Macaca mulatta: one gene and its partner. The protein of the gene in region 1 interacts with the protein of each later gene in a biochemical or structural test. Links are inferred from orthologs where the notes say so. Each region holds a gene or a part of one and is shown on either strand. Other genes may lie near its edges.

Region 1 (10,400 bases):
GAGATCCTCCTGCCTCAGCCTTCCGAGTAGCTGGGACGGCAGGTGTGTGCCACTGTGCCTAGCCTGAATTCTCTTATCTGCTTCTGCAGTTCATCTGTTGCTATATCACACATCCAATAACCTCTGGAAAAAAACTCCACTGTCCATTTTCAAGTGAATGAGAGTGGAAAAAAAGGACAGATAATGTCTTTGTGTCGTTATGAAATAGTTTTGAACTTGCAGTCCCCTTGAAAAGATCTTGGGGGCTGCAGGGCCCCAGACCATCTCTGAGAACCACTGCCATGTGCTCTCCGAGTTCTAGCATTCCAAGGACACTAAATCCTGAATTAATTACAGACCATGAGGTGCTTTATGCTAAGGTTCTAGCTAACGAGCACTCTAAGTGAAGAGGATGCAGAGTCTAGGAGTCTGTATAACAGGGCTGAAACCCAAATACCAACCAAGGTCACAGGCACAGGAATAGAAGGAAGTGGGCCAGGCCCCAAGCAACATGGCGGGGACCACAGTATCCAATCTAATCTATCCACAGGCGCAGCTGTGTCTTAGCGCTGACAAATCACCGCTGTGTAAGAACGCAGGCCAAGGGTGGTTGCTGTTTTCTGAGAAATCAGAAATATGATTTTCTCCCCCTCTGAAATCTCAGAATTTTAAGTGTTGGCTCCTAATTACAAACAAAAACCTAAATGGGCCAAACGAAATATGTCTGCTTGCCCTTCAAGCAAGTTTGCAACTTCTGCCTGTGGTTTTCAACTCTGGCTTCACATTGTTAAACATCTGTGGAGCTCTTTAAAACCACAGACACCCTAGAACTACTGGAACTATTTCCAATGGTGCAGCCCAGGCAGCAGTTTTGATTTTCCCTGACAACCTCCTTAAACAAGCGTGAAGCCCATCCGGGGCTGAGATCCACAGCTAGTGCTGTGTGGCAGCTCTAAGTGCCAAGACTACCAAGGAGGAAGCAAACTGTGGACATGTGGAAGGTGGTGGTGAGGAGCTTTACCCGGAAGTCCCAGGCCACGTTATTCTCTACTGCGTAGGGGAGAGTCAAAGAGAACACCACTCCACCAGACCCCTTAAAACAGAAAACACCACCACTAGACCCTGAATAGATAATGATGCAAGCCCAGCTGCCTCACGATTGCTTCATAGTACCATGGAGAGCTACCAAATGCCTGGCCAAGCCAATACCAGCCATCTCCGCAGTGCTGTGGTTCTCTGTTAAGTCTTCACAAATGGCACTCTCTTCTCAGAGTCCCCAAATGCATCTCAACTTTCCTCAAATGGCCCTCATCTCCCACTACACTCAGGCCTATTCACTGTCTGAACTCACTTAGGAGGTCAGAATTCAACCCCCCTTCTCCACCCCAAACTCCTCCAAATGCCACTCGAAGCTCACCCCATTCCTGTTGCCTCTGCTCACTCCAACCACCTCAGAGGAGGAGCACACACCAGACCCAGGTTGACTCTAACACCTAATGAATGCACGAGGGTGCCGGGAAAATCCCATTTTCTGGTAAATGGAAAGGCAGCCTGAAGACTTGTTTGAAACGTTTTGCAGAAGTGCAGTGAGGGCTTTCCTGTCTATACGCAGGATCCTGGGCAAAATGGAAAGTCTCTTCAAAGTGTGTAAAAGATTTTGCAGTGTGGACACCCCTCAGGTACCATCAGGCCCCTTCTGCTACAGATACAGGAGGCACAGTGGAGGTGAAAACACACATTCTGCTCTCAGCAAAAATCCCAGAATTAGTTTTTTATCACAGATTCATGAGAAATTTTCCAAAAGTTGTTTAGGATAGGTTCCAACTATTTCAGTTCTAGCTAACCAATACAAATTCAGTTGCAACTCATCCTCTCAGGGGCTAAGTTTTAAGTCAACAAGGTACAAACTGAGAGAAGCCAAACCATCCTCAAAAATCTCTCAACTCTATACCTGGTCAGGCTTTTAAATCAGTGGTTCTCAACTGAAAGCAATTCTGCCCCCCCGGGGGACACTGGTGATGTCTGGAGACACTTCCGTTGTCATGACTGGTAGGGGTGAGGAGGGGGATATGCCATTAGCATTTGGTGGGGTAGAGGCCAGGGATCCTGACTAAGATCCTACAGTGCACAGGGCAGTCGCCCACAACAGAGAAATGCCTGGCCCCAGATGTCTGTAGTGCTGAGGCTGGGATCCCTGGGATCACTAAGTGACAGGCAGGACAGAACTTAGGAGGACCCAGAGCCCAGGCCCTGCTGGTCTCCTGCCAGGGGCTCAGTCCAGGGCCAACTCTGAGTGGGGCAGGTTCACCCACACAATGGAGACTTTGTTGAGCCCTTAAGCTAAATGTGTCTAGAGCAGAGTGCACTGTAGTAAAAACAGCAACCTGAGTGTTTATTACCATGAGCAGAGATTGGTGCTAAATACTGGATTTGCATTAATTCCTTCAGTGCTCACAGCAACCACGAGGTGGGTATGGTTATCATTATTCCCATTTTATTGGTGTGGAAACGGGGGTTCAAAGAGGTTAAGAAATTTGCCCCAAATGACTCAGAGTGGACAGTAGAGTTAAAACACAGACCCAGTTCTCTATAAGGACCGAAGCCTGCGTCCCCACCATCAATACCAGTGAGTCTCTCATCTGGGGGCGATTCTGCAACCTCCCCACCCCCACTCCCCAGGGATGTCAGGAGACTTTTTCTGTTGTCATGATGACCCCGGGAGTGAGGGGAGGTGTGTGCTACTGGCATCTAGTGAGTAGGTTCAAGGATGCTACTGTGCTGCTAAACCTACAATGCACAGGACAGCCCCCCTCCCGCCAACAGAGAACGATCAAAATGTCAGCTGCACCACACAAAGGTGAGAGCCCTGCTTCACACCGTCTCCCGGGTTTCCACCACACATAGTCCACAGGCCAACAGGGCCTTTCATGTCAGGATCTAGAATCCAAGATTCCCTGGAGTTCAAATGTGCTTTGCTCATCCTCTTCCCAGTCTTCTTTACCTTTGCCAGGGACAAAACTCTGCTTTCAAATCCTGATGCTGCCTACAATGCAGAATAACCCCAGAGACAGGATAAGTAATGAGTCTGGAAGGTATCAATGGGGAAATGCCAAGCAGGGGAGACTTATCCCTGGATGCAAGGGTGACACATGCACACACACTCTCTGAGAGGAAAAGCACTCAGGTGGACTTTAAAAGTCACAAACCACAGGAAGGGCTGTGAGAGTTGTTGTCACCATCCATGAGGCGATCACCATAGTGACGAGATCCAACAAGATGCTTTACACAACAGAAAACATTTCGTCATATACAAGCAGAGGACATCTACCCTCTACTACTCAAACCAGAGGGTCTCAACCCTGGCTACGCATGAGAATTACCTGTGCTGCCACCTACACAGAGGCCCAGGGCCCATCCAACACCACAGAGAATCGGAATCTGCAGGGCGTGGGGACTGAGCATCTGTGGCTTCAGGAAAGCTCCCCAGGTGATACTGATGCCCAGCCGTGTGGACAGCCGCTGCTTAGCCTGACACAGAGGTGGGACTGGCCCAGAGAAAAAAGACGGCAAATGGATGGAGGAGGGACATGGTGTGAGGGTGGAGCAACTTAAGATCTCAGTCTGGAAAGACAGAAGCCAAGAGGGCATTTGACTAGAGCTTAAACAGCAAGAGCAAACACATGACCATGGGGCAGTCCCTAAAACTTCAAAAGGCGCAGGCAAGGAGGCCCCACTTTACACAGTGAATACGAAATTAAACATCCTGGCAGGCTGTACAAGCCAAAACCAGAAATGGAGTGTTCAAGAAACACCATGACTGATTAAAGGACTGCAGGAATATGTGAGGCACAAAGTCCACCAAGGTTTGATTTCCTCAAGACAGCGATCCTTGAACTAGTGTCAGGGATAACGTGCTAGGTGAGTGTGGCATTTACTAGGGAAAAAAAGTGAAGTTCAAAACATTCCATTTCTCTCTTTGGCCCTTACCAGTTCAACTATGCCATTTACAACCAACAGCTCACGTGTACCGCATATGCTAGAAAGAGTATCCCCTGGAAAAGGGCAATCCATAATTTTCCCTTTGTGCTCAAATGTATTCCTCACAACAGGGTCCTCACTGGTGAATTCATTCATTCATTCATTCATTCATTCAACCAATATTTCTTGTATACCTACTCTGTGCCAGGCACCGTTCTAGATGCAAGGGGGTAATCAGTGATCATGACATAAAAATCCCTGACCTCATGGAGCGTACACGAGGCAAACATGCAAGTAACATCTAGCATGCTGGATTGTAAGAGCTGTACAGGAAAATCAAGCTAGGTGAACGGAATAGAGAACGTGGATATAATTTGAAATAGGTGGCCAGAGAAGCTCTCATTAATAAAGTAACATATGAGTAAAAACCAGAAGAAGTGAGCCACGGGGGTATCTGGGGGAAAACTGTTTCAGTTAGAGGAATCAGTAGGAGAAAAGGCTAAAAGCGGGGAGTGTATGGAACATTCAAGGAAAACTGAAAAAGCTAGAGTAGTTAGCACAGAGCAAGTCAGCGGAGAGTGGTGAGAGAGAAGGACAGGGAGGCACTGGGGCCCACTATGGGTTGAGAAGTTTTCAGTAGGGTAAGGGTGGAGGGAACAGGGGCCCAAGCATTGACAGTCTTGGTGGGGAGAAGTGGTGGTCCCCCTTTGGAAATAATTTTAAGGTAGAAATGACAGAATTTGCTGTGGAGTATGAGAAAGAGGGAAACCAGGGATGACTCCAAGGTTTGGGGCCTGAGGAATTCAAAGAATGGATCTGCCTAACTACAATGGGTGAAAGACCATGGGATGGGTGGGTGTGGTGGAGATAAGGATTTTTGTTTTGGAAATGCTCCAGACAAGCCTATGACACATCCAAATGGAGATGTCCAAATGTGATGCTGGACATGAGTCCTGAGTTCAAGAAACTATATGGGCTCAGGATGTAAATACATAAAATATGTCATATTGATTCCCACTTACCCATTCCCTCTGTAACTAGATCTCATGAGTTGGAACGCTGCAACCCTCCACGGGCTCCTTTATCTTAAAAAAAGAGATGTAGCAGCTGGGCGCAGTGGCTCACGCCTGTAATTCCAGCACTTTGGGAGGCTGAGGCGGGTGGATCACGAGGTCAGGAGATCAAGACCATCCTGGCCAACATGGTGAAATCCCGTCTCTACTAAAAATACAAAAATTAGCTGGATGTGGTAGCGCGCGCCTGTAATCCCAGATACTCGGGAGGCTGAGGCAGGAGAATCGCTTGAACCCGGGAAGCGGAGATTGCAGTGAGCCGAGATCACATCACTGCACAGCCTGGCAACAGAGCGAGACTCCGTCTCAAAAAATAAAATAGAATAAAATGGCCAAGAATCAGGGAGCCCACCTGTGCTGCTTCCTGTACAGATGCCCAGCGCCCGCCCAACACCACACAGAATCAGAATCTTTAAAAGTCCGAGACCCCGTGGTCTGGCATCTGAAGCCAGGCCACCTTGGTTCACATCCCTGCTCCTTCCCAGCTGTGTGACATGCCTTGGATAAGCGACGTAACCAGGCTGACTTAGTTTCCTCATCAAGTGAATGGGGCTAACAGTATCTATACCTCCTCCCAGGGAAAACAGTATGTCAGGACTTTGCACCTTAACTGGTACTACCCTAAATGCTCCACAAGACCGAGCACTTCCTATCATAATTCATTCATTAGTGCAATTCGGGATGGAAAACTCTCCAGCTACAGGGAGCACCGGATGAGGGAATCAGGGCCAGACAGGTAGAGAGATTGCCTGCATTTGTGCAACTAGAAGAAGGGGGAGCTAAAAATAGGCCTCAGAAGTCCTGAAGCTACAGCCATGGCAACACGACTGTGGATGGAAGCAGACATCAGCCTTACGGTGCCTTCTCGGGGGATCTGGAAGTGTAACCTTGTCAAAAACACTCAGGTGGGCTGTCAGCGCTCCACAGAGGAGGGATTCGCACGGTCTCTGTCTGGAAGCGCAGCAAAAAGGACCAAAAAGCAGCCAGGGCTTTCGGCGGCCCAGATCCTGCGGCGGGGCCTAAATGAGGGGGAGACGAGGCGCCCCGAAGGATCCGGGGGGAACTGGCGGGAAGTGGGGGCCGAAGTTCGGGGCGGGGACGCGGTGAAAACGGCCTGGGCTTCCTCCGGCCGCGGTGTGCGGCTGGTCCGCGGAGGACGAGGGCCTCACGGGCTCAGGAGATAGGCAGCCAGGCCGGGGAAGGGGAGACGTCGGGTGGCGGAGGACGAGGGGGCGGGGAGGGAGCGTGGCGCGCTCCGGGCCACGACCAGGCCCCAAGGTCTATTTACATCTGTGGCCGAAGCACTGGGGCCGCTACTCCCGCCCCCTTCAGCCCCGAGCTTGGCTGCGACGCAGAGGGCCCTTAGGGCTGCGATCTCGACGGCCTCCCGGCTCCTCTAGCCAAACGGCTGCAGGAGCCGAGGCTGCCGGGAGTGATGGGCCGGGCCGGTGAGCCCGACCTGAGGGGAGGCAATAGGGGGCGGCTGCAGGGCCCGCCAGGGTGCTAGCCTGAAGCGGACGAAACCCTTGCACTCTGCGGTGTTCCCCCCACAGGCTTGTGGCCTCTGGTCCTCCCGCTGCCCGTTCCCCGGCCGCCAGCCGGTCCCCGACGGCGCCTCCCCTACCTTCGTTCGCCAGGTCCGCCATTTTACTTCCTTAAGCCCTCCCACAAGGCCCCGCGCCGGCCCAGGCTCGCCTGCTTTCTGCCAGAAACTCCCGCGCGTGCGCACTTAACAAGCCTACTCCCTGTGAGGCGGCCAGCTCGCGCCTGCGCGCTGAGCGCCGCGCGGAGGCGAGCTTCAGATCGCCTGCCGGGCCAAGCCGCCTGCCCTGCGGAGCCGCGCTCCCAACACACGCCTGCGCACGAGCCGTCTCCCGCCTCCTTTTCCCGCCGACTGAGGGGGCGGGGACAGGGCCGGGAAGGGCGCATGCGCAGTGGCAGCGACGAAAGTTTAGTGAGGCGGCGCCGCGCGGCGCGAGGCGGGTCTTGAGGCTCTCGTTTTTCCCGCTCGTTTTCCGGGGATCCCCCGCGGTGGGACAGTGAGCAGTTCAGGACGCCTCAGCCGAGGTCTTCCTCCAGGTAAACCCCCGGGCCTGCGGCGGCTTCCCACACGCGCGGGCGGGAGACGCGTTACCTCCTGCCTCAGTTTACCCGCCTTAGGAGCCGTTACCTTCAGCAAACCCTTTCCTGAAACCACGGGGGAAGTGGCGAGAGGGCGCGGGGTGCTTGGGATTGGGGGGAATCAGAGCTCATCGGCGAGGGCGGGGGTCGTGGTCAGGCGCGAGGAGGGAGCGCAGCCCTGGGACGCAGGTGCTGGCGGGGGGCAGGGGGGACCCGGCGCGTGGAACTCGACCCCTCGGAGCCACGAGAATCAACTTCACAAGCTCATGGGAGGGTGTTGGACCCCGCGCGCCTCCAGGTTCCCCATCTGGAAAATGGGACCATCAGCCTCACTCGCAAGGCTCATGGGAGGGTCCCGGACACCCTGGAGTTGTTTTCTACTCACCTGCTATGAATCTGTCAGCAAATCCTTCGGACCTGGCCTTGCCTCCAAAATACAGCCCAGATCCACGCTTTCTCCCCAGCCAGGCTGTCACCACCCTAGGCCACATCGTCCCTATCTGTCTCATGGAAGACTTGGACAGTCTCATGGAAGACTTGGACTTTGCTGCATTCTTTGGAAGCCCCAGGCTCTGTTCTGCCCATGGCCGCAGGCTGAGGAGTCTTTTAAAAATGTAACCAGCCTGATGCGGTAGCTCACCCCTGTAATCCCAGAACTGTGGGAGGCCAAGGTGGGAGGATCTCTTGAGCTCAGTTCAAACCCAGCCTAGAAAACAGAGCAAGACCCCATCTCTACAAAAACACAAAAATTACCCGGGTGTGGTGGTGCAGGCCAGCTACTCGGGAGGCTGAGGCAGGAGGATCACATGAGCCCAGGAGGTTGAGGCTGCAGTGAGCTATGACAACAGTGCCACTGCCACCATCCTAGGGACAGAGCAAGAACCCCCCCATATATATAGATATAAATACTTTGTTTTTATCTACATACATATATACACACACAGATATATACATACATATGTGTGTATATATTTGTGTGTGTGTGTGTATATATATATACACACATAGACTGAAAACAGAAATATCAAGGCCACTCAGTGCTTCCAGAGGGCTCTCAGCTGAACTTGGAATATCCTAAACCTTTTATTCAGGCTTATGAAGTCCCCTGAACTTGGCTCCCACGCCCCACTTTGTTTCCCCTTGCTCATTGCTGTTCAGCCATGTGGGTCTTTCCGTCCTTGGAGCACAAGCTCATTCCAGCCTAAGGGCCTTTGTACTTGCTGATTTCTCTGCCTGGGACCTTGTATTTCAGGTCTTACCTAGGTTTGAGTCCCAGCTCTGTACCTTTTTGAGTATGATCTAAAAGAGAGTGAGGAGTACTACAATCTGTGGTCCAGATATAGCCTATGAACTAAAAATGGTTCCTCCCTCCCTCCCCTTGTTCCCTCCCTCCTTTTCCTTCCCTTCCCTTTCTTTTATTTATTTTGGAGTCTCTGTTGCCCACGCTGGAGTGCAGTGGTACAATTTTGACTCACTGCAACCTCCGCCTCCCAGGTTCAAGTGATTCTTCTGCCTCAGCCTCCTGAGTAGCTGGGATTACAGCTGTGTGCCGCTATACCCAGCTAATTTTTGTGTTTTTTTATAGAGACAGGGTTTCACCAGGCTGCTCTCGAACTCCTGACCTCAGGTGCTTCACCCACCTTGGCCTCCCAAAGTGCTGGGATTACAGGCATGAGACACCACGCCCTCTGACTTTTTACATTTTTAGCTGGTTGGGAAAAAAAAAATACCAAAAGAAGAATATCTCTTGATGTGAAAATGGTGTGAAATTTACATTTCAGTGTCTGTACATAAAGTTTCATTTGCAAACAGCCATGCTTACTCATTTATATATTATCTCTGGCTACTTTTGAGCTATGACATTAGAGCTATTTACATGGTTGTTATACTTTTCTGAACAGCCAGTGGGATGTGGTAAATATTTAACAACAGCTTCTCTGGAGGAGAATGTATTTGTTAGTATGTATTTATGTGTGTGTATATAGTTTATTGTAAATTTTACTGATTTTTCTATCACTTCCTTAAGACCACAAGACAATTAATAAAACAAATTGAACCCTGATTTGTAGCGTCTGCTGATTTTCTTGGTGTAAATACTTCAGTCATGGCCTATATTAAGTTACTAATGTGATATCACTAATACCAGAGTCTCAGTCTGTTGCCCAGGCAGGAGTGCAGTGGTGTGATCATTACTCACTGCAGCCTCCAATTCCTGCACTCAAGCAACCCACCTGCCTCGGTATCCCAAAGTGGGGGGATTACAGGCGTGAGCCTCTTTGGGAGGCTGAGGCAGGTGGATCACCTGAGATCAGGAGTTCAAGACCATCATGGCCAATGTGGTGAAACCCCTTCTCTACTAAAAATACAAAAATTAGCTGGGTATGGTGGCGGGCACCTGTAATCCTAGCTACTTGGGAGGCTGAGGCAGGAGAATCACTTGAATGCGGGAGACAGTGGCTGGAGTGAGCCGAGATCACACCACTGCACTCCAGCCTGGGCAACACAGTGAGACTGTGTCTCAAAACAAAAACAAAAACAAAAAAACCACAAAGAAATTCTCTAAGAGTAGCTCGAATGTCAGTCCCCCTGGTCGCCCACAGTGTGTAGAACTCAGGTCATCTCTCATTCCTAGGGTGTTGGTCTCATTATTTTCAGGTTTCCCCAAACTTCTCTTGGGTAGGTCTTGGCAGCCTTTACCATATCTGAACGGTGTGACCTTTAATGAACTTGATACTTTTCTTTTGGTTTAAATTTTCATTAAATAGATACTTTGTATCACTGTTTAAAATAGAAAAACCACTAAGCCATGAGTACACCATTGTAAAAGCAAACATGAAAACGAAACAATGTTTTCAAATTCAAAGTAGATACTGTTGCCTATCAAGGTGTTGGGACTGCTTTTTCCTTGATACAAAGGGAGATTAGCAAGTATTAGAGCGTTATTGAAGACGCTTTAGCACTTGGCGGGAACTTTCTCCTTGAAGTGATGAGAAGGAGTGAAGAGAATTGAAAATGGGCTAACATAATCTATGTGATTCATTATCGTTTAACACCATGTCTACATGTCGCCTAAAGTCAGGTCACACACCACATTCATCCCACACTTTGGGAAGCTGGCAGCACCGTGTCATCACTTGCTAAATATTATCCAGTCATGGCTTTTCAGGGGATACTGAGACACGCAAAACCTGTCAGGTCGATGAGCCAAGGACGTTTCCAGTGGTTTCGCAAGCCTCCTCCAAGTGTTGA
Region 2 (10,350 bases), on another chromosome or scaffold:
AAAATGCAGTGGTGCGATCTCAGCTCACTGCAACCTCTGCCTCCCAGCTTCAAGCAATTCTCATGTCTCAGCCTCTAGTGTAGCTGGTACTACCACATGCACCACCATGCTTGGCTAATTTTTTGTATTTCAGTAGAGATGGGGTTTCACCATGTTGCCCAGGCTGGTCTCAAATTCCTGAGCTCAGGCAATTTGCCTGCCTTGGCCTCCCGAAGTGCTAGAATTACAGGCATGAGCCACTGTGCCTGGCCTTATTTTTAAATTTTATTTCTTGTAGGTAACATTTTAGGTTTTTCAGTATGACAGTCTGCCTTTTAATTGGAGACTTTAGGCGATTTACTTTTTTTTTTTTTTCGGACAGGGTCTCACTCTGTCACCCAGGCTGGAGTGCAGTGGCAAGATCATGACTCACTGCAGCCTCAAACTGGAACTCCCAGGTTCAAATGATCCTCCCAGCTTGGTCTCCTGAGTAGTGAAGACCACAGGCATGTGCCACTATGGCTGGCTAAATTTTGTATTTTTTGTAGCGACAAGGTCTCACGATGTTGTCCAGGCTGGTCTTGAACTCCAGGGCTCAAGCAATCCTCCCACCTTGGCCTCCCAAAGCGCTGGGAATACAGGCATGAGTCACCATGTCCAGCCATATTGTACATTTTTAATTTATAATAGTTTACATTCCATTGATATTAAACCAGTTCACCTGTAGTATAAGAATCTTCCCCAGCCTGGCCAGTATGGTGAAACCCCACCGCTACTAAAAATGAAAAAAAAAACAAAACTGGCCAGGTGTGGTGGTGCTCGCCTGTAGTCTCAGCTACCTGGGAGGCTGAGGCAGAAGAATCACTTGAACCTAGAAGCAGAGGTTGCAGTGAGCTGAGATTGTGCCACTGCACTTCAGCCTAGGCGACAGAGCGAGACTCCGTCTCAAAAAAAAAAAAAAAAAAAAGGCCGAGTCCGGTGGCTCACACCTGTAATCCCAGCATTTTGGGAGGCTGAGACCGGCGGATCACCTGAGGTCAGGAGTTTGAGACCAGGCTGGCCAACATGGTGAAACCCCCTCTCTACTAAAAACACAAAAATTAGCCGGGCATGGTGGCACGTACCTGTAGTCCTAGTTACTAGGAGGCTGAGGCAGGAGAATTGCTTGAACCCGGGAGGCAGAGGTTGCCGTGAGCTGAGAACACGCCACTGAACTCTATCTAGCCTGGGCGACAGTGACTCCATCTCAAAAAAAAAAATAAAAAAAAAAAAAACACTTAAAAATATTTCTGGCCAGGCGCGGTGGCTCACGCCTGTAATCCCAGCACTTTGGGAGGCCGAGGCAGGCGGATCACAAGGTCAGGAGATTGAGACCATCCTGGCTTAACAGGGTGAAACCCCGTCTCTACTAAAAATACAAAAAAATTAGCCATGCGTGGTGGCAGGCACCTGTAGTCCCAGTTACTCAGGAGGCTGAGGCAGGAAAATGGCATGAACCCTGGGGGCGGAGCTTGCAGTGGGCGGAGATCGTGCCACTGCACTCCAGCCTGGGCCACAGAGTGAGACTCCGTCTCAAAAAAAAAAATACATACATACATACATACATAAAAATAAAAATATTTCTTCCATTTCTCACTATATAGTCTTTGATACTGTCATGTATTTTACTTTTATATATGTTATAAAACCCACAGTACATTATTACAACCAGGACCTCCATATCAGCTGGTTGCAGTGGCTCACTCCTGTAATCCCAACACTTTGGGATGCCAAGGCAGGCTGACTGCTGATGCTCAGAAGTTCAAGACCAGCCTGGCCAACATAGTGAAACCCTGTCTCTACCAAAAATACAAAAATTAGATGGGCAATTAGCCGGGTGCACACCTGTAATCCCAGCTACTCAGGAGGCTGAAACAGGAGAATTACTTGAACCCAGGAGGCAGAGATTGCAGTGAGCCGAGATCATGCCATTATACTCCAGCCTGGGCAACAGAGTAAGACTTTGTCTCAAAAAAAAAAAAAAAAAAAATTAGCTGGGCATGGTGGTGCACATCCGTGTTCCCAGCTTCTCGGGAGGCTGAAGCAGGAGGATCTTTTGAGCCGGAGAGGCAGAGGTTGTAGTGAGCCGAGATCTGCCACTGCATTCCAGCCTGGGTGACAGAGTGAGACTTAGTCTCAAAAGAACAACTGGGGCGGGGTGCGGTAGTTCACACCTGTAATCCCAGCACTTTGGGAGGCCAAGGTGGGTGGATCACTTGAGGTCAAGAGCTCAAGACCAGCCTGGCCAATATGGTGAAACCCGGTCTCTATTAAAAATACAAAAATGAGCCTAGCATGGTGGTGCGTGTCCATAATCCCAGCTATTCCGGAGGCTGAGGCAGGAAAATTGCTTGAACCCATGGGGCAGAGGTTGCAGTGAGCCGAGACTGCACCACTGCACTCCAGCATGGGCAACAGAATGAGACTCCATCTCAAAATAAAATAAAAAATACAAATACAAAACTAAAAAATAAATAAATGCCAGGTGCAGTCGCTCACGCCTGTAATCCCAGCACTTTGGGAGGCCAAGATGGGCGGGTCACCTGAGGTCAGGAGTTCCTGACCAGCCTGGCAAAAATGGTGAAACCTGGTCTCTACTAAAAATACAAAAAATGGCCAGGCACAGTGGCTCATGCCTGTAATCCCAGCCCTTTGGGAGGCCGAGGCGGGTGGATCACCTGACGTTAGGAGTTCAAGTCCAGCCTGGCCAACATGGCGAAACCCTGTCTCTACTAAAAATACAAAAATTAGCTGGGCATGGTGGTGGGCACCTGTAATCCCAGCTACTCGGGAGGCTGAGGCAGGAGAATCGCTTGAACCCAGGAGGCAGAGATTGCAGTAAGCTGAAATCATGCCATAGCACTCTAGCCTGGGTGGGTCAGGAGTTTGAGACCAGCCTGGCCAAAATGGAGAAACCCCATCTCTACTAAAAGTACAAAAATTAAGGCTGGGTGCAGAGGCTCACGCCTGTAATCCCAGCACTTTGGGAGGCTGAGGTGGGTGGATCATGAGGTCAGGAATTCAAGACCAGCCTGGCCAAGACGGTGAAACCCTGTCTCTACTAAAAATACAAAAATTAGCCGGGTGTCGTGGTGAGCACCTGTAATAATCCCAGCTACTCGGGAGGCTGAGGCAGGAGAATTGCTTGAACCCAGTTGCAGTAAGCCGAGATTGCGCCACTGCACTCCAGCCTGGGCAACAGAGACTCCATGTCAAAAAAAAAACAAAGAAAGAGTTCAGGTTACCTTCCACCACTTGTGCGATGACCCCAGAAAACTTGCTTTACCTCTTTAAACTTCAGTTTTCTTATATTCCAACTGCCATGAGGTTTTCATGAGGAACACATGAGCTGACATGGATATGTTTCTGTAGTTAACAAAATAAAGGCTCTTACAAAATAGGCAATAATAATCATCATCATTTATTATTATTACATGAAGCTACATGAATAAGATCTTGGAGGAAGACAGCAGAGAGAGAGAGGGAGATCAGAGATCCCAGGGTTAAAAGTTGGAGAAATTTCACAGTACATCATCCAAAAGAGGAGTCCATGATGGAGGCAGAGGTAAACTTGGAGAGGTAAGAAACTCTGAAGACGGGGGAGTCCTTTGTGGCAGGCCCTGCATAGAAGAAATTCAGCCTGGCCAATATGGCCAAACCCTGTCTCTACTAAAAATACAGAAATTAGCCAGGTGTTGTGGCAGTCACCTGTAATCCCAGCTATTCAGGAGGCTGAGGCAGGAGAATCGCTTGAACCCGGCAGGCAGAGGTTGCAGTGAGCCGAGATCACAACACTGCACTCCAGCCTGGCTGACAAGAGCGAGACTCGGTCTAAAAAAAAAAAAAAAAAGTTCAGTTGGTAAGAACTCATCATGGCCGGGCGCGGTGGCTCACGCCTGTAATCCCAGCACTTTGGGAGGCCGAGGCGGGCGGATCACAAGGTCAGGAGATCGAGACCACGGTGAAACCCCGTCTCTACTAAAAATACAAAAAATTAGCCGGGCGCGGTTGTGGGCGCCTGTAGTCCCAGCTACTCGGGAGGCTGAGGCAGGAGAATGGCGTGAACCCGGGAGGCGGAGCTTGCAGTGAGCCGAGATCGCGCCACTGCACTCCAGCCTGGGCGACAGAGCGAGACTCCGTCTCAAAAAAAAACAACAACAACAAAAAAAAACTCATCAAAAGTGTCCATCTAGACTTTGGGTGCAGTAGAATGACTCAGAGTCTGAATCAACGTGAAATCAACAAAACATCATTTGCAAGGGTTTCAGGGAACACCTGAAATCCTGAAGAACTGTTTGTATCCATCCTGAAGAATGGGTGTATTAACAAGAGACAGCCTTTCCTTGGTACCTGTTTTCCATCTCCAACCCAACCCCAACTCACACCCTTATCTCCTATTTTATCTGGTCTCTCTCGTTCCTCTTGCTCTTCCCCACTTGGCTCCCGTTTTCCCCAAGTCCATCCTCTATTTTGTTCTATAAGATCTGATCATATCGGGATGCTTTTGTAGCTCATAAGAATGATGACTGGGTGTTCACACGCATGTGAGATGTGCCTCCCTCAAACCTTAAGACATGGGCACATACCCATCTGATGTTAACTCACGGGGCACAAAATCTGATCATGCCATTCCCGTGCCCAAATCCTCATATATCTCCACTGCCTCAGGATACAGGCTGGACCCCTTAGACACACAAGACCCTGCATCCATGATCTGTCACTCCCACAGGCACCCTCTGCTCCCATCTACTTGGCAGTTTCCCACAACCTCCCTGGGTTCTCATGGTTCCCTGTCATTGCAAACGTCGCTTCTCCTAGGATGTCCTGCCCTCCTAGACTTAACTTGGAAAGCCGTTCTTAAGCCCCGCGCTGAGTAAGATGCCCCTGTGGGTATCACGGTCATAGCGCTGTGTGGTTGCTGATAGTCTGATTTTTCATCCTTCTCCATGCCCTCTTGAGGGTAGGGAAGATATCTTTTTTCTCCGTACAGACCCTACCGCACGAGATTTTCCTAAACAGACCGAATTCAAGGAGTCTTTCTGGTTGTTAGTCCACGTGTCCCGATTTGGGGTTTCCAAAATACACACTCACTGGAACCGGGCCAGGGGAGCCAGCCTGGCCAAGAGCTCCCCCCAGCCCGTGAGCGCGCCACATGCAGATCCTGGGATGGCCGCCAGGGGCCGCCGGGCTCTTTGTTTTCCTTTCTCGCCCGGGTCGGGGCCAGAGGCCTGCAGAGCGCATGCTCTGGGGCAGTTCGCGGCCCGGCGGGGAACGCTGGAGTTCCTTGTGGCCGACGTGCACCGAGGTAGGTCTCGCTCAGGGCGCGCGGAGGGTCCGGGCAGAGGGCGGTGCGCGGGGCGGCCACAGCCGGAGCACGGGCCGGTCCACGCGGGCCTAGGTCGCTGTCCGCTTTCGCCCGTGTAGCGCGGCGCTGGCCCCACGTGAAGCCCGGCGGCAGGAAGGCGCGATGCGGGCTCGCGATTCCCCGGCCCCGCGGGGCGCTCCAGCGGCCGCTGGGCCCCGCCTCGCGGGAGCTAGGGCCGCGCTGCCCCTCCGCCGCCGCGCCTCTCACGCCTGCACCGCGGCGCCCGCGCAGGCGGGAGATTCAAACGGCGCGAGCGCGATGGGCCGGGTGCGCGCGGCCGCCCGGGCGGGGGATGTGTCTCTGCCGCGAGGAGAATGGTTTTGTCCAGCATGCGTTTGGAGAAGGCGGTTTGCAGAGCTGGCAGGGAGCCCTGCCCGGGAGAGGGTGGATCTTCAGAGCTCGAGGGTGGGTAGTTGGGGGTCTGCTGCGGCGAGAGAAGTCCCAGCGTCGGCAGGCACCCAGGCACCGCTGTGGACCTTTGGGAGCCGTGTGTCTCGAACTCCGCAGCAGCTCAATCTGTCAGCAAATTATTTGCTGGCCATCTATTCCGTGCCGCTCTTGCAGGGCTGGGGGACAGTGGTGAGAAGGGCAGGCCCGTGTCATTAGCGAACTATGCCCTGGAGCCCGGGCGACGAACGCTACTGCCAAGTCTTCATTCATCACATATTGACCTAACTTCGACCACGTGTGACTTGTGTGGCCTAGCAAAAGTTGAGTGTGTGGGGTGTTACGGGAACCCTCAGGGGGACCCCCCGCCCTACCCAGGAGGCTCAGGGATGGCTTTCTAGGTGAAGTGACTCTTGAATGGGGTTTTGAAGGAACAGAGTTTTTCGGGCAGTCTGAGGGTAGTGGGATTAGGGTGATTCAGGCAGAGGGACTGCAGGTGCAAAGGCATGAAAGTATAGATATTGTGGTAAGGGATATCACAGGTCTTGAGGTGACTGGAGGAGGAGAGTAACAAGATGATACAGCAAGGGCTGGGTCATGAAGGGTCTTGGGTGCAAGACTAAGGAACACTGCGGGGTGGAGGAGGCAGGGAAGGATTGCCCCAAGAAGGACATCAGAGTGAAACCTGGACAGATGAATTAGGAGTTCCCGAGGCTCTTGTTTCAAAGACATCCCAAGAGCAGGAATCCTGTTCTGTTCCTCTTTAGAACTTTCTCATCAGATGCCCTTGGGCAACCCACCCAGTCCCCCAGAGCATTGGTTTCCTTATCTTTATAGCAATGGTAGGGGGCATGTGGTGAGGATATAATTTTTTTTTTTTTTGAGACGGAGTTTCCGCAATTATTGCCCAGGCTGGAGTGGAGTGGTGCGATCTCGGCTCACTGCAACCTCCGCCTCCCAGGTTCAAGCAATTCTGCCTCAGCCTGCCGAGTAGCTAGCTGAGACTACAGGAACAGCGCCACCAGGCCCCGCTAATTTTTGTATTTTTTTTTTTTTTTTTAGTAGAGACGGTGTTTCACTATGTTGGCCAGGCTGGTCTCGAACTCGTGACCTCAGGTGTCCACCTGCCTCGGCCTCCCAAAGTGCCGGAATTACGGGTGTGAGCCACCGCACCCGGCCAATTTTTTTTTTTTTTTCCTGATACGAAATCTTGCTCTATCGCCCAGGCTGGAATGCAGTGTCGTGCTCTCGGTCATTGCAGCCGCCACCTCCCGGGTTCAAGCAATTCTCCTGTCTCAGCCTCCCAAATAGTAATATCCTATAATTTTCATAAAGCAGTCATTCCAACATCTAGTGGAAGTTGTGGGTCCCTTCCCCCAGGAAAAATGAACACATAGACCCAAGCACAGGTTGTATCCAGTGGGGATCCCAAGTGAGAAACTCCTAGTGTGAAATATACCAGCTCTGTGCCTGACGTAACAGCAGCTCACCAAATGTATATTGTTGACACACGAGCCCTCTCCTCCCTTCCCTCCTGGGGACCTTTCACACAAAGAGATTTTTCAGCCTGAGTCTGGCAGGCAAGTTCTCCCTCCTGGCGTGGGGGACGGAGGGCACAGCTGCAGTGGTCTGGGAGGGCTCTGTCTCCTTTTACAGAAATTGAGGCTGTGGTGAGGTCACTGGAGGTCAGGGCAGGAGCACCAAACTCCAGGCAGACTGTTTAGACTGGCATGCCTACCCACTTTCTTCAATAAATAAGGAAAGTGAGGTGGGGTAGGGCAGCTCTGGCTCTGGTGGAGCAGGGTCATGAGACTGGGGTTTCATTGCACCTCTGTGGGACCTGGGCCACCTTTCCCTGAGCCTCATCTTCCCCTTAGCTGTAAAACCGGGATGAATCTGCTCACCTCAAAGGGCAGCTGTGGGCATTCTGGAGTGCCTGATGGTGGAAGCTGACTCTGTAGCCAACTTATCTGGGACTGTCTCACTCTTCTCCCAGAGACTGTAGGCTCCTTGAAGAAGGAAGCTGTGTTGGGTGGGGCTGGGCAGGGAAGCGTGATGCTAAAAGCCGACTCCTTATTCCCAGCCCAGACACTGCCAGGTTAAGAAAACAGCCACAGGCCGGGCGCAGTGGCTCACGCCTGTAATCCCAGCACTTTGGGAGGCCGAGGCGGGTGGATCATGAGGTCAGGAGATTGAAACCATCCTGGCTAACACGGTGAAACCCCATCTCTACTGAAAAAAAAAAAAATACAAAATATTAGCCGGCCGTGGTGGCAGGCACCTGTAGTCCCAGCTACTTGGGAGGCTGAGGCAGGAGAATGGCATGAACTTCAGAGGCAGAGCTTGCAGTGAGCTGAGATCACGCCATTGCACTCCAGCCTGGGCGACAGAGCAAGACTCTGTCTCAAAAAAAAGAAAGAAAGAAAGAAAGAAAACACAGGCAGAGAGAGAGAGCCCAGGCTCGTAACCCCAGCAATTTGGGAGGCTGAGGTGGGCAGATCACCTGAGGTCAGGAGTTCAAGAGTTCAAGACCCGTCTGGCCAACATGGTGAAACACCGTCTTTTTTTTTTTTTTTTTGAGACGGAGTCTCGCTCTGTTGCCCAGGCTGGAGTGCAGTGGCCGGATCTCGGCTCACTGCAAGCTCCGCCTCCCGGGTTTACGCCATTCTCCTGCCTCAGCCTCCCGAGTACCTGGGACTACAGGCGCTCGCCACCTCACCCGGCTAGTTTTTTTTTTTTTTTTGTATTTTTTTAGTAGAGACGGGGTTTCACCGGGTTAGCCAGGATGGTCTCGATCTCCTGACCTTGTGATCCGCCCGTCTCGGCCTCCCAAAGTGCTGGGATTACAGGCTTGAGCCACCGCGCCCAGCCGAAACCCCATCTTTACTAAAAATACAGAACAATTAGCCAGGCGTGGTGGCATGCGCCTGTAGTCCCAGCACTAGGGAGGCTGAGGCAGGAGAATCACTTGAACCTGGGAGGCGGAGGTTGCAGTGAGCTGAGATTGTGCTGCTGAACTCCAGCTTGGGCAACAGAGTAAGGCTCCATCTCAAAAAAAAAAAAAAAAAAAAAAGATGAAGAAAAAGGAAAACACACCCAGAGCAGTGAGAGAAGTCTGTACAAAAGACCTGTTTGTGCAGTAGAGGCTGTGCAGGCAGGTACCGGGAACAGGGCTCCACCTTTTAGAAGGTGGCCCTCCGGCCGGGCGCGGTGGCTCACGCCTGTAATCCCAACACTTTGAGAGACCGAGGCAGGTGGATCACGAGGTCAGGAGATCGAGGTCAGGAGATTGAGACCGTCCTGGCTAACACAGTGAAACCCCGTCTCTACTAAAAATGCAAAAAAGTAGCCGGGCGAGGTGGGGGGCGCCTGTGGTTCCAGCTGCTCGGGAGGCTGAGGCAAGAGAATGGTGTGAACCTGGGAGGCGGAGCTTTGCAGTGAGCCGAGATCGCGCCACTGCACTCCAGCCTGGGCGACAGAGCCAGACTCCGTCTCAAAAAAAAAAAAAAAAAGAAGGTAGCCCTCCATCCCCTGCCCTTCCCTGGCAGTTGCTCACAGCAGCCCAGTGCGGGGCCTCAAGTCTTCATTTTGGAGAGGAAGCCTCTCCTCTGGGACTCAACGAGCACTCAGGCTGTCTCCACCACAGCAGGGAGTTGTTGCCACTGTCCTACCCCATGTCTGTTGTATGTCGTCGGATCTGTCACCACCCACCCCACCTTCCCTCAGGCCCCAGCTGCCTCAGTGTCTCCTCTCTGGTCTCACTGTCCTCTCCTTCTCTGCTGGCTTCTGCTCTCTGCTTCTGGGACTTGGCCAAGCACGTGGGGGATCCTCGGGAGGCCTGTCCAGGCTGCCTTAGCCCCTGCCTGGACCATGGTCAGCCTTCAGAATCAGTCAGATAGGCCTGGGTTGTTTTTCTAGGCTCCCCTTTACTTGCTGTGTGAACTTAGGCCAATAAAGTTATCTTCCTAAGCCTCAGTCCCTTAACTGAAATAGGAGTGACAGTGCTGCCTTCTTCAGCTTCCTGTGAGAAGTAAAAGGGTTTTGCATATGGAAGATACAGTGAGTTGACTGGTGCCCCCAGGGGCTTTTAGGAAGTTGATTGGTGTGGTGGATAGGCATGTAAATTAAAGTGATTGTGATCTAAAAGTCTGTCCCAGTTTCTCAGAGAGAATGACTCCATCCTCAGGATGGAGGGATCAGAGGAGATGACTTTGAGACACCAGTAGATGTTCTTCCAGTGGGATAAGGGATGGGAAGGCATTCAAGGTAAAGAGATGCAAATAGTATGGAGAGGACAGTTAACATTCTGGCCTAGTGGGTCTGGCAAGGAGATTGTGTGGGAAGAGAAGGGAGGATGTGGTAGATAGGATGTGAAGCTAAAGGTTCTGTCAGTACCTGATGTTGGACACCTCTAAGACCATGCTAAGAAACGTGGGCTTTATCTTTCAGGCAAAGGGAACCAATAAGGAGTCCAAGCAGGCCAGCAGCTTGCTTCAGGTTTGAGGTTTGGAAAGATCATGAATGAGGCCGGGCACAGTACCTCACGCCTATAATCCCATCACTTTGGGAGGTCGAGGTAG

What was found. The genes of interacting proteins can lie anywhere in the genome.
Region 2: the proteins of RANBP3 (region 1) and RCC1 form a complex in vitro, tested with the Homo sapiens proteins (2 studies listed by BioGRID). The link is inferred for Macaca mulatta from reciprocal best matches to the Homo sapiens genes RANBP3 and RCC1.

The regions. Positions count from the first base shown.
Region 1 is NC_133424.1:6,853,571-6,863,970, forward strand, and holds the start of RANBP3 (ran-binding protein 3), read right to left. Parts: upstream 6,694-10,400; 5' UTR 6,677-6,693; coding exon 6,655-6,676; intron 1-6,654. UniProt on the Homo sapiens protein: Acts as a cofactor for XPO1/CRM1-mediated nuclear export, perhaps as export complex scaffolding protein. Bound to XPO1/CRM1, stabilizes the XPO1/CRM1-cargo interaction. In the absence of Ran-bound GTP prevents binding of XPO1/CRM1 to the nuclear pore complex.
Region 2 is NC_133406.1:212,381,292-212,391,641, reverse strand, and holds the start of RCC1 (regulator of chromosome condensation), read left to right. Parts: upstream 1-5,176; 5' UTR 5,177-5,257; coding exon 5,258-5,323; intron 5,324-10,350. UniProt on the Homo sapiens protein: Guanine-nucleotide releasing factor that promotes the exchange of Ran-bound GDP by GTP, and thereby plays an important role in RAN-mediated functions in nuclear import and mitosis.